2 linked regions of the Mytilus edulis genome follow. The protein of the gene in region 1 purifies or fractionates together with the protein of each later gene. This does not show direct contact. Links are inferred from orthologs where the notes say so. Each region holds a gene or a part of one and is shown in the gene's direction. Other genes may lie near its edges.

Region 1 (7,266 bases):
ATTATATACAATCAGTAAAAATAGTTGAAATAGGTTCAATTCATCAGATCAATACTGAACACAAAACAACCAATAAAAGGGGAATAGTTGTTTTATACTTAACTGCGTCAATTTGTTTTGCAAATTGATGGTCTCTCTCCTTAACAAATTATGTATATGATTGTTCAATTTCTTCTGCCGAAACTAGTCTCAGTACCAACTGAGTTGTTGATAACATAAGGTACGGAGTGTGTGTCAGATAGAAAACAACCAAACAACATAAAAAAAGTTATGAATATCAATAAAAGGCGATGCCTTTCATGTGACAGAGACAGCAACACGACAGCCGTGACAAAAACTCAAAGGCATTTATGGGAAAACAGACAATTGCCAATGCAGTATCAGAAGGTAAAATCACAAAAATACTGAACTCCGAGGAAACATCAAAACGGAAAGTCCCTAATCAAATAGAAAAATCAAACGACAAAACACATCAAACGAATGGACAACAACTGTCATATTTCTGACTTGGTACAGGTATTTTCAAATGTAGAAAATGGTGGATTGAACCTGGTTTTATAGCGCTAAACCTCTCACTTGTATGACAGATATATTGCGATGTTATTAAATTGTTGTATATACGTAATATATTATTTTTTTGACAATATAGATGAAAAAGTGCGATTAATAGCTCATCATAGATACAAGGGTTAAAATTTTATACATGGACCATGCAGATGCGCATTTTGTCTACACATGACTCATCAGTGATATTCAAATCGAAATGGTTAAAAAGGTCAAAATAAGTTGATCAGCATTGATACCCAATTCCTGAATATCTGAAAAGACTAAAACTTTAAAATATAAATTATTCTTCACAAAATCATTTAAGTTATAAAAATAAAATTATGTTTGAGTAATTCGAAAACTGAAAACTAAATATACAATTAACTTCAACAAAAGATACTTACTCGTTAAATACGTTTCCAAATTTAAAGTATTAAAATGATGTCAGTGACTTAATATATATATAATTATTGGTACTCATGATTAAGTGGACACTCTTCCGTTTTTCTGGGACATAAACACTTTATAAAGTTCAATTGCATCTCTCTATAACGAAATGTTTACAATCCAATTAGGACGTAGGCTACTTAAGATTATAATATTACAACATAAGTGAATATAGAACTAATGTCATGGACGTCATTCGTTTTGAAAAAAATTCTAAAGGGCCCTGACTTTTATAGAATTTAGTAGACTGTTTGATGTATGTATGAAGGAAAGGCGGAACATTCCAGAGGGACATTCAAACGCATAAGTCGAAAATAGACTGACAACACCATAAAGAAGAAAAGGACCAACAGACAAACAATAGTTCTCAAAACACAACGTAGAAAACTAGACTAAGCAACACGAACCCCACCAAAAACTGGGGGGATCTCATGTGCTCCGGATGGGTAATCAAATCCTGCTCCACATGTGGCAAACGTCGTGTTGCTCATGTTAGTACAAAAGCTTTAATATTTATATAGACGAATAATCAGTATACAGAAAACATAAGCTCTATATTGAGCTTTCATATCGTCTTATTACAAACAAAACATTAAAAAACATGCCCGTTTAAAACAAACCAAGCATACAGCATACAAAAGAGCAACACAACCAAACAAAATCATTGCATTTAAGGACATATACAATAAATGACACGAAGACGTTAATGTATGTTATACTTTGCAGAAGTATTAAAGGGTGATGTCATGTGCTCCGGATGGGTAATCAAATCCTGCTCCACATGTGGAAAACGTCGTGTTGCTCATGTTAGTACAAAAGCTTTAATATTTATATAGACGAATATTCAGTATACAGAAAACATAAGCTCTATTGAGCTTTCATATCGTCTTATTACAAACAAAACATTAAAAAAACATGCCCGTTTAAAACAAACCAAGCATACAGCATACAAAAGAGCAACACAACCAAACAAAATCATTGCATTTAAGGACATATACAATAAAATGACACGAAGACGTTAATGTATGTTATACTTTGCAGAAGTATTAAAAGTATCGTATTCAATCAATATTAGAAGCATATTAAGCACTTCAAATACATACTAGTAAGCAGTTTTAGCACATTGAGCAGAAAATCCCTATAAATTAAGCATTAATTATTTGCAGGCATTACATAGTCATGAACTACCATTCCCGGTAACAATTATTTACGAAAATTAATTAAAATGGTTTCTTCTCTAAAACTCTTTGGTAGTTCATTCCAAAATTTTTGCAGCTACTTATAGCGAAAGGAATTGATGTCATAGCTTCTTGTTCTTACCTGAGTCTGTTCAACTGTATCAAAGTGTGGTTTTCATATTAATAACCAAATCATGTAAATATGATAGTCTGTCATTTAGTGTATAATTTTAAAAGTTTCTATAGGTATTGATCGTTTTCTTCTGATGATTTGTCTTATGTAAAAGATCTTTTCTTTTTTATGTCAGAGCTATCATAATCCTAATCAACAAATATCAAGGCTCTCTCTTGGATTTTTTCTTATCATTAACTGAGTTTTTTTTTAATGAAAATGCCAGATGACTGGGCAATAATTGAGATTAGACAAAATAAATTAATAATAAATTGTTAGACAAACACACGAACCAAGTATTAATAATTGAGATTAGACAAAATAAATGAATAATAAAGTGTTAGACAACCACACGAACCAAGTATTTCCAAATACCTACCAATACTTTAAGAACATTAAGTGGACGAGAGGGATTCTTAAAAATCTGAGATATTAGTTTATCAAGATTTAATCTGTAATCTAGTGTAACTCCCAGTAGCTTAATTAACGCCATCTTCACATTCTATTCTATTTCCTTTAATATTAAAAACAATCATTCAGATTAAGAGTGTTTTGCCAAGAATAACGCATATATTTTTAATGCGGCGACCCCGGCTGCAAATAAAGTGGTTGTCCTATATAAAATTAATTGAAAATATTACACTGTTAATTATACCCCAATGGGGTATAGGTGGTATACATAAAAACAAAACAGAATATTACATAATACATTTCAAAAATAATTTAACATTATTCGCCTGGTCATGTTTTGGGATTTTTGTCAGATTTTCGGAACTCTAGTTTTATCCATTTGAATGAATTAAAAAAAAACAGTTTTCTTTTTATAAATCTTTTACATGTATAATGATAAGCCATCTATAAAAGTCTTATAAAATTTTAATTATTTTTCAATAGTTTTTGAGAACTTAAACTTCATAAAGCTATGAAAAGTCAAAAGAGAATATTTCCCCGCCAAAATATCAATAACTTACTAATATATCGAAAACAAGCCATTGACCTATTTTTTTTTGTTGGCTCTTTAGTTTTGATTCCTTTATTAATTCCCTGTCATGTTAAACTAGTGTTATGAAAAGCTAATTATTTTGAAACTGAGAAGCGAACTCCCTTTACATAAGATAAATTCATATATGTACGTATCATGCGGTTGTTGAACCCTCTCTCCCCAGCCAGTGACTTGAACCGCATTAATGACGGACATTAAGGTAAAAGATGATTTTAAGATTTAGAAGGGAACAAATCATCTTGGCAAAATCTCTTTTTTTCTTTTTTGTCAAAATTAATTTTTTCCCTCAAGTTTCTGTTTTCAAATGTATTTTTTTTTATATCTTCATTCAATTATTCAACATGTGTTTATGCAACAGATTTTGGTAAAATTTTAACGCGGATGTACTGGGGTGGGTATCATCGGAGACTTGCAATAGATAATGTATTATAGCGTCTCTAGTATTATTTACACCCAGTTAATTAACTGCCAGATTGCAAAATTCTTATTTCATAAGAAATAAACTCAGGCCACAAATTAAAGGGTCCATGTCGAGGAAATTATTATTATAACAATTTATTTCACTCTGATTGATTATAACATAACTCTTAAATACACAGGGGACTAATTTAACCGAAGACGTTAAATATTGGCATTAAGGGTGAAAAAGTGGGGCGAATTGCTAATGGGGCGAGTTGTCTTACTTCCAAGGGTAAGTAACTCTGTTTTGTATACATGATTGTCTCCCTTCTAAATAATAATAATAATGATGGATGCTGGGCCTCGAAAGGGCGAGGGGTTGCCCAAATTAAGGGACCTTTTGCGGAGGCAAAGAGAAGATTCGCTGTCAGAGGTACATCTATAAATATAAGTTTTAAGACAAACTATGAATAAAACCAATCAGCAAATGCAATGTTACTTCCGCTGTCAAAATCATCCCAACTTTAGTCTTTACAGAGATTTATACAGTGACTAATTTTAAACTAAAGACTAAATTTACACTTTGTAATGTAAAATTTAAATGATACAGGTTCTCAGTTATATGTTACTTTTCACTTTTCATAACTATCACTGATAATTGAATATTCGATTTTTAATATCTTCTTTTTTGTTACTACTGTCTTACCAGGTTTTGTGAAATAATTTACTGGCACTGCTTCATGTCTGTGATAATTTAATGAATTAGTTGTATTTGATACACAATCCTTATTTTACAATCTGTATTGGAAATAGATACTGGTCTCAAATCAGTAACTGTCCATTGCCATTTCCTTCAATGCTGTATTTCTAGGGCATATAAGGCACAAAATGTGCACCATAATTCAGTTACCTTGTTTTGTAACCCCCATTGACATAATGGTTACTACAGGTACTACATTGTATCATAGAATTTGCTTTCAACTTTCAACTTTATTAAACAAACTCAGACGCAGTAACTGCATAGTACATTATAATTACAGATGACAGAATAAGTATAGAAATTATCTCATAGATGTACAATGTACATTGAACTATAAGATTTCAAGTTATTAGAACATATACAAATGTATTATAGACAATTTCAGATACATGTAGTATACAATTTAGAAAAGTAAGAGTATACGTATGATATCAATGTACATTTGTAATGTATTTTGTAAATAAAAGAAATGAAGAAAAAGCAAACAATAATTTATGTAATTTTTTACCCCCAGTTCCATGTAGTTAAAATATTTTGAGTGAAGGTGACTGTTTATGAATATTTAGATAATTGAGTCCTTTTGTTTTCCAGAGTATGACGGATAGTCCAGATATAGAATTTTTGTATGATGATGCAGACACTTACCAGAGTGAAATGTCAGGTATAGATAAAAGAAGTGTTGACAGATAATTATTGACTATTAGAAATATTATAAGCTGTACACAACATGAATAATTAAATTTGTAACTGATAATTTCTCAAAGAATCATATTTCTTTTAAATGCATATATTTGACATTACTTCAATTATCTGTCAAAATTCATGCCCCCTAGTTGATTCAAGTTCTTAAATTTTATTTAATATATACTAAACCTGTATTTAGAGGTACATGTATGTACAATGCAAGAGTTCTATAGAAATAATACACAATTTATTGAACAGCTACTAATTAGTATCAACTTTCTTGTGTTTTCCTAACTGGAATCAATCAAATCAACTGTCAACATGATTATTTATTTATAAATATAAACAGACAGGTTAACAAATACAAAAAGACAAGCAGGCAGATGCAACAAGACTTGAAGTATTGTGTTGATTTTTTTTTAGTTTTGTCTGATCACATTTCAGAGATATACAAAGTTAAACATATAAATTATTAAATTGTTTACTCATTACTTATACATTAGACTTTGTTGTGGGTGGAATCAATCAACAAAATATGTCTTTCTGTGTTCTTCTCTAGTTTCACTTTGTCAGCTAACAGTTATAGTTTTAATCACTGGACAGGCTGATCACATCTCCTACTCATTTCTATTTGTCAAAATTAAAGTTGCATGCATACAGACCCTATTGAAATCATTTTTATACAACCGCAAAATTGTTTTGCATCGTATAATGCTATCATGTCGTCATCGTCTAAAGACGCATTTAGTGTCCGGACAATAAGTTAAGTTTCAGTAAATGGATCTCTATAATTTTTTACCAGAAGGTTCAATACCACTAAAGAAAGGTTGGGATTGATTTTGGGGGTTATGGTCCCAACAGTTTAGGAATTAGGGGCCAAAAAAAGGGCCCAAATAAGCATTTTTTTAGTTTCCAGACAATAACTTTTTATATCTGTTTAAATGTAAACATTTTTTTTTAGGGATGGGTTTGGGGGAGGTCAATTCGCAACAGCATAGTGTATTGCCAAAAAGCAAAAAACATATAAATTCAAATCATACAACCAATTAATTCTAAGTTCTTTGACTACAGTTATTCTGTGTCAGGAACCTACATGTATTAGGTGTCAAATATTTAATTACAATTCAAATTCAGACCTGTATCAAGCTCAAATATTATGTCCATTTTTGTCCCAACTGTTCAGGGTTGGACCTCTGCGTTTGTATCCAGCTGGGCTCGGTGAAGCAATTTATTTTTCTTGCAAGTCAATATTTTATGAGCAATGTTTTTGAGCTCATTATTATGAGGTTGAATCAAACTGGCTTCTAAAAGCAAGTCATGATTTCAATATTCTGTTTTCATTATACCCCTCAAACAAACTTTGAAGGGCATTTAAGAATCAGACTTTCCATCTGTTTATCTGTACCAGCATCTTTGTTCATTTAACTTAAAACTTTGTTGAATAAAAGACCGCTAACATTGCCATGTGATTGAAGGAATTTTTCTGCTGTCATGGTTATCCAAAATATATATGGTCCAATAACCTTAGAAATTTTTGGCCTTTTCAGAACCAATCTTTTAAACAATGGTACAGAAGGGGTTGAATTGCCAAAGAATTAGAGAACGCATATAATGCAAATTCATACAATAATAATCATTTTTTGTAGAATTATACAGTTACACAGAAGAGAGTGAGTTTGCATTAAATAGAAAGTGCTTTGAAGATGGATTCACAGCAAAAGGTAATAAATTAGAGACTTAAGAGCTACCAAAATGTCAAATAAAAAACAAGGTGTCTAAAAAACTCTTCTGTGACAGGGACAACCTTGATCTTTTAAGTTTGTTTTACAGATGACTGTATCTACTGTGGATTCATTTATTTTCGTGGATTGCTGAAAACTTGCATATTCATGGATATTTGATTTCGTGTTTTTGACAATCTCTGTTTACTAAGCCTATTAGAATATGTATTTCGTTGAACATTTGATTTCGTGGTTAATCCATACCCACGAAACCCACGAAAATTGGTATCCAACGAATAATAATGAATCCTCAGTATGTTATTTACTCTAATATTAACAGTTTCAGCTTTGCAAGT
Region 2 (7,925 bases), on another chromosome or scaffold:
AGCAAAAACCAAGTTACCATAGTGACGGTATACTAAAGTGTAATCTTTATAATCTAGTATTCCTTCCTGGAAATGGATATTTTGATGTTTAAGTGTATTAATATCTTGCCTTTTTGTATTTCCTTTTCATCATTATTACAGAAATAATTCATTTTGAAAATGGCTCCTAGATTTCTTATGTCTCAAAAAATCCTTTTGATGTCATATCCTTTTATTTACTTTTTTAAGATACACATTTTTTATTGTCCTTGAAAAAGTACATTGAGTAAATGTAGTCTGATGCCTGTAAAACATCCAGTATCCTTTTTGGGTTTTTATAAATTTACTGAAATAAAGATTTAGCTTAAGGGGGCACTAGCTGTCAAATTCATGGTCACCGATTTGAGTCAAATTCTCATATTTGATTTATAACAATGTAAAACATTTATACAAACTATCAAAAGTCTAAAATAAACAGTTTTCAGAGCATGTGGTAGATAATATATAGGTTCGTTTCGTGTGTATTTTAGTCCAGACGCCATCTAATTAAATATCGATTTGACCTCAGATGAACATACAAGCGATGTAAACATAAATAAAGATATGAATAGATTAAACCAGTACGTGCAATTAGATTTTTATAGGTCTGTTTGATTTGATTTTATAGAATAAAAATTGATGTTTCTCATTGTTTTTAATCGTATGAGAATGATTTTATGTAATCAAATGATTAACCGTAGTTTCACTTTCATTGTTGACATTCTTTTTCTTTAAATAACAAGTACACGTACAATGCATGCATCTAGCTAGGGGTTAAATTGAAGTTCACATGAATAAGGATTTAAAGAGGTCAAATCATTCACTTGCAAGTGAATAACTAATTATCAATGTTTCTTAGCGTAATTTGACAAAATGGAACCTTTTTGGCTGCAAAAAGCAAATTGTTATTTCACTATTTCACTTTTATTATTGATTGAACAGAAAAAAATCAAACTTTAGATTTTTTATATATCTCGTAGCTAGTGTCCCTTTAACCAAACTATGTACACATTACTTCAATTGAAACCTGGTTCAACACAAAACAATCAAGATTTTTTTCTATTAAAACAAGCATTGTGACTAATTTATTTTCCATAAATATCAGCAAGATGTGTTAACAAGATCAAACATTTTTTTATGGGAGACAGTGTTTATTTAAACAAGGACTCAAATGCAGACATAATGATTTACTTTTATAAATTGTTATTTGGATGGAGAGTTGTCTCATTGGCACTCATACCACATCTTTCTTTATCTATTTAAACTTGTATATACATGTGATATAGCATTCATTTTGAAACTTTATTAATGTATTGAAGCAAAACGGTACTGTACCTGTTTTGAATGCGCTAAGCAAACATTAGAAACCTCTTTTTGAACTGTTATTCTTTGGGATTCTAGAGGATTGTCATAAAATCTAACAATTCTTGGTTTTCCAATTTTGTTGAAAAGGAAAATGAACTTTATCATAATTGCACCTAAAAATAATAAAACTAAATTAAAATTTCACCATAATTATTTAGAAATAAACTTTATACTTAACATTTTTAGAAATGTTTTATGTATACAACAGACAGACAACTAAAACATACTCTTAAGTGAAGGCGTAAGCGCTAAAAGAAGGGTTTTCAGACATCAAGGGAACAACCAAAAACCATTTTTTAAAGGCATACAGACAGACAACAACATATCAAAAAGAAAATTCATGTATAAAAGTATAACAAAAATAACAAACTTCAAAGGTAAATTCTAAACGTTAAAGTCAATAAAGAGTGACAAGATCAGACATTATCAATAGCTCCATAAATTTGTTTTCTGGATGGTTTTTTTTTGCCCATTCTCACGCTCACATTTAAGGCTAAGATGGCATATCTTTAGAATCAATGCATTCTTGGTTAACTTAATACTGTTTTATAAAGCATACATCAGTTTGTTGTCATTTGCTATCAATGTCATAAACAATTAAAATTTAGCTAATGATGTGAGATTATCATTTTGGGATAGAAATAATGATATAACCCACTCCTTTAGATCATGAAAAGTTAAATTTCTTACCTATTAAAATAATATTTCATGTCTTTAGATTATTTATTAATAAAGTTGAGAAACCAGGATTGTGTATCAAAGAGACAACAACCCGACCAAAGAGCAGAAAAAAACCACAAGGCCACCAATGGGTCTTTATCGCAGCAAGAAAATCCTGCACCTGCAGGCAGGCTTCAGCTGGCTCCTAAACAAATATGTGTACTGTCATTCACAAAATAACTTTTTTCTAATCAAGTAACTTTGAAATTAACAGTGATTTTCCTCTTATTATCTGTGACCATATTTATAGAATGAAAATCAAACTTTATTAATTTTGTACATTTCAAGTGCTTTACTGGATTTATCTTTATCAGGGACACTCATACCCGAAATTGTGAATACCAAGGATGTACCTTATCATGTAAAGAGCTGTATGACTTAAAAGGACTACATGTATTATAAACAATATATCCAGTCATCTAAGGTCAACTTTGCATGAGGTAGTTGTAATTTGATTCCAATTATGATTGCAATTGCTTTAGTTATATTTGATTGAGCCTCCTCAAAACACTTTTCACAAATGCATATGCCTATTTAAACAATTTTGACCTTGACCTTAGACACAGCAACATAAAAAATAATAAATTTAATATCTTCCTCTCATGATATGTGCCCATTATATGTGCAAGTAAGGTTGCAATTCCATGTGTAGTATTTGATTAAGGATGAGGAAACCACTTGTCAGCAGAAATCTGTCTATTAATTTGTAGTAAACAAGACCTTGACCTTTGACCTGATGACCTTCAAATCAATAGGAATCTTTCTCTCTTACAAAATATATATGACAGTATATCCAAGCATGAATGAAATCAGAAATTAAGAATAAGAGTTAAAAACTGAACCCATATGACTGAAAATATGACTACAGGAATCTATAATTCACATTTGTCAATTCCTATCCATATCCTATATCACAATGGTTATTATATAGTCACATTTTAAAAGAGTATTGTTTAATGACATCTTTTCCAAACATTCCAGCGCGACTAATTAAAGCCTTTAAAAAGAACTTAAAAATTGTCACTTTATGATTCCCCCCCAATTAGTTTTAAAAGGGAGATGTGATCTATACCAAGGATTTGTATAGATAAGATAACTTTATTAGCACTAAAGCATTGACAATAAATGGTTATGTATAGTAAGATCTTTAAATCCTTGTCTGCATCAAGTGATTCCATCATCATGCATAATATAGCTAAATTCTTGAAATAAGAAGCCTTTTGCACTCTTTCATTCTTTTTTCAAGTTTATACTATTGTTTCATTTATGTAACTTATGATAAGTAACAATATTTACAAATTTTTATGTCTCTGTATAATATTTTCATTCATGAATCATTGATAATTATTGTACACTATTTACCAATTTTGATGTCTGTATAATATTTTCATTCATGAATCATTTGATAATTATTGATTTTATAACTTATACTCTGGCCCCTGCTGTTCAGGGTTGATTAAATACAAAAAAATCTAATTTTGTATCTTATTTCACAGCATACGTGTGTATTCAATAACAAGAGGCTGTCACAACGACAGCAAACCGGATTTATTAATATTTATTTGTGTCCTGGCAATATCACAAGAACCATTACTGATGAGTGGTGAAAGTGAAAATCGTCAATATCAAATTTGACCTCCATTTTGTCATCAGTATCAACATATTAAAATTTGAAAAGCTTAGATTGAATGGTTCATGAGTAAATGCAACAACGTGAATGGAAACGCCATTTTACAATCTTTCAAGAACCATAACGCCTGAACGGTAAAAGTCAGAATCGTCATTATTGAACTTGACCTCTATTTTGTCATCAGTAACAACATATAAAAATTTCAAAAGCTTTGGTTGAATGGTTCATGAGAAAATGCACGGACACAACTGGAAACACCATTTTTCAATCTTTCAAGAACCATAACTCCTGAACGGTAAAGGTCAAAATCGTCATTATTTAACTTGACTTCTATTTTGTCATCAGTTACAACATATTAAAATTTGGGAAGCTTTGGTAGAACAGTTCATGCATAAATGCACGGACACAAATGGAAACTCCATTTTTCAATCTTTCAAGAACCATAACTCCTGAACGGTAAAAGTCAAAATCGTCATTATTTAACTTGACCTCCATTTTGTCATCAGTAACAACATATTTAAATTTGGGAAGCTTTGGTAGAACAGTTCATGCGTAAATGCACGGACAGGACTGAAAACTCCATTTTTCAATCTTTCAAGAACCATAACTCCTGAACCGTAAAAGTCAAAATCGCCATTATTGAACTTGACCTTCATTTAGATGTCAGTAACAACATATTAAAATTTTAAAAGCTTTGGCTGAACGGTTCATGAGTTAATGCACGGACAACATTTGATTGCCGCCCGCCCGACCACCCGGCCGCCCGACTGCCCGACCGCCCGACCGCCCGGCCGCCCGCCGAGCATCCTCAAATCAATAACCGACATTTTTGTCACAAAAATCCGGTTAAAAAGTACTGTTATGATCTGTTATGAATGAGAATTTGGTCTGCAGAAGCTTTTTCGGGTGGGGTAAAGAATTTTTTCAATCTACCAGATTTCCTTTGATAGGAAAGAAAAGTCCAGACGCATTCCGAAGGAAAATTTTGCGTCACTGACATCTGAAGCGACACCTATCATAATAAAAATGAAGAAAATGGCGATCCTCTGAAATAATGATTAACGATAGTGAAGGACCTCAAAACGGAGGGTCTCTGGGCCCTGTTTCCGGAGCAATAGGGATGATGACTAAACAGCAAGATGAATCTATTCAACGGCCACAGTATTCTATGCCTGGAATATTGCATTTCTTGCAGACAGAATGGTCCCGTTTCGAGATGGAGCGATCGCAATGGGAAGTTGAACGTGCAGAACTCCAAGTGAGGACTTAGCAAAAAAGCACATAATGCAATTTAATAAATCTTTAATCTTTAAACTATCATATAATGGCTAAGTTATGGTTGTTATTTAACAGATCTTCTACAAACATCCGTGTTAAAATCATATATCCCAGGACGCCATTTTGCAGAAATCAATATGGCGGCCAAATTTGACATCTGATTCACTTATTCGCTGTGACAGTACCGTAGAGGTCTTTAGTAGAAAGCATTGTACCACCAATGGGATTTCTCAAGATAATACTCCCCTGAGGGATAAGTAAACAAAAGCATATTGAATGGTTTTCTCTTAACATTGTCAAGTGTGTAAACAACACAAAGCTCTCACAACACCCTTTCAGTTGTTTATAAAGAGCTTGTGTCTAATGTCTATTTCCCCATTGCAATACATTGTGTGGGTTTGTGGTTTAGTAGCTAAGACAGATGGCTACCATGCTGAAGGTCCCAGGTTGGGATATGACTCAGGGCGCTGGAAATTTCAGTACATCACAAGGGTGATTTTCACGGTATCTGATCTGTTCGCCCAGATTTCATGGTTGCCCTGGTCCGTTCGCCCTACTTTAAATAATTCAATTAAGGGCTTTTAAGTTTAACGTATTCAGATATTATATGGTATATATTCTTGAAATTTATGAAACCACATGGAAATATTTAAAAGTTGATGACTTGTTTTGTGAGCAATATAATTGTTCAATGATATAATAATTCTCACTGATTGTTGTAACAAAGTTTTGTTTTTTTGATAAACTAGTCCGCTTGGAATTGATAAAAACATGTTATACAAATATATGTATAGATTATCGGGTTTTCTACTCATTGATATCGTAAAATATCAGCTGCGAGCCACAATGTGAACCTTTTTGGCGAGTGAGTGTAGCAAACGAAACACAAAAAAAAGCTGCTGATATTTTACGATAATTATACGAAGAAAACCCGATTATCTTTTTATCGTTCTATTACTTGTCGTTTCTTTCTCCCTAAGACAGTTTTACGCTTGAAAAAAGGAAGCTTCATAATGTCTCCTCTCACATTGTGACGTCCCTGATAATGTCTCCTCTCACATTGTGACGTCGCTGATAATGCCAGGTCTCGTTTTGGAGTCTTGATACAAGAATTACGGAGCAGCAGAGCAGGGTGATATAGGCAGAGGAAAGGACGATAATAGCAATAATCTTACCAAAACATGATTAAGATTTAATCAACAAAAAAAAACCCGTCAGATTCTCACTATACTGAAAATGAAAAAAACATTTATAGCAATACAATAACCAAAACTTGATACAACATGTACAATAATATTAAACACAAAACCAATGAAAAGGGTGCTAAACAGCTAAAGTGTAGGGTTGGAACAGACTTTGGGTGCGAAAGTGAAAGAGGGCAAACGTTAATGGGCGCTTATGTGTTTTAGGGTGACCAGACTATGATTCTCAGAGGAGGTATAGTTCAATTGAATTGAATTTATACTTCGAATGGTGAAATCTATTTCAAGTGTTGTGTAATCAACACAGTCTAGGGCCAACATCAGATTACTCTTGACAATAAAACTTCTCTTTATCATGTTTATGAACATATATTTATTTTTTAGGCCAGAATTGCATTTTTACAAGGAGAAAGAAAAGGACAAGAAAATTTAAAACAAGATCTTGTCAGAAGAATAAAAATGCTGGAATATGCCCTGAAACAGGAAAGGTAAGTTGACAATCTATAGTGTCAGTTGTTAAAATTAATGGTAGTGCAAAACATTGTTGTTCAATACAGAGAAATGTGATGATGGTCAAAATAAAAACATAAAATTGTGTCATGATATTGGCTCAGCCTAAGATTATCATTTTACAATACCATGAATACCCCCTGTATTGAAATAACAATCAAATTAATACCAATTCTGGAAAGCAGAATTGAAAACATTAAACTTTTAAGTGGGTGAACAGCCAATATGTTATTTTTGGTGGCTAAAATTTAATTAATCTAGAAAACATGTAAACAAAAATGAGTCCATCTCAAAGTTTAGGGACCATGGGCTCCCAGGAATTGTCATCCTTGCTTTTAAAGGTTTCTCACAAACACACTGTTTTCTCTGGGGAAAATTTTATATCCTCCTGGTAAACAGGTAATTAAGAAATACCATCTTGTTTCTAGAAATTATAGCATGACACCCATAACACAATCTGTAAAAAAAACCACTTCAGATACTAGATAGAATCACATTCTAGTGATATAGCAAATTAACATCACATTACCATGGTGCTAAAAGGCCATGGTGAAAACACTGAAATATTCATCAATCCATAGTATAACCAATATGACACAAACATGGTGTCAAGATAAACCATTGTGTCCAGAAACTTTATTTTGTTGTTCTGTCTGTTGTGAAAAGCAAGACTTATCATTCTAAAATTCAACTGGCAAAGTCAATTATATTGACAATTATTCAGTCAAGTTCTGAATATTTTTTCCAACTAGTCAAAAATTTAGTCATTACAAAAAAAAAAAAAAAATGTTAAAGTCATTGAATTTATAATTCTTGGGGGATTCTCAAGGATATTTAATTCTATAATTTCAGGTCAAAATACCACAAGTTAAAATATGGAACAGAAATCAATCAGGAAGACTTGAAGCCCCCTGCATTAGAAAAGAAAGATGGTAAATATTATCATGATAATACATTAATTCAATTTTGCCAGTTACATGAATATAATTTTTTTTAGTGAGAATGGAATATTACATTTAGAAATGTATTATTAAACTTTATAAATAGCAAGATTTACAAAAGTATAATCAGAGTTCTAACGAGTGTCTAACCAATAAATAGCCTCTCTTTCTTCTTTTTAGAATTTTTTTTTCCCTCAGAATTTATAATGATTCTTGTAACTATCTGAAAAAATATACTTATACAACGAAAAGCAATCTTTT

The links.
Region 2: the proteins of striatin-interacting protein 1 homolog (region 1) and striatin-like purify together in Drosophila melanogaster (affinity purification with western blotting; 4 studies listed by BioGRID, with this or other methods). This does not show direct contact. The link is inferred for Mytilus edulis from reciprocal best matches to the Drosophila melanogaster genes Strip and Cka.

Annotation. Positions count from the first base shown.
Region 1 is NC_092344.1:72,367,871-72,375,136, forward strand, and holds the start of striatin-interacting protein 1 homolog, read left to right. Parts: upstream 1-4,049; 5' UTR 4,050-4,091; coding exon 4,092-4,178; intron 4,179-5,096; coding exon 5,097-5,166; intron 5,167-6,835; coding exon 6,836-6,910; intron 6,911-7,266.
Region 2 is NC_092346.1:56,179,731-56,187,655, forward strand, and holds the start of striatin-like, read left to right. Parts: upstream 1-4,703; 5' UTR 4,704-4,787; coding exon 4,788-4,991; intron 4,992-6,597; coding exon 6,598-6,701; intron 6,702-7,575; coding exon 7,576-7,655; intron 7,656-7,925. Other genes in the region: AP-4 complex subunit sigma-1-like, read right to left, coding at 1-66, 1,354-1,488.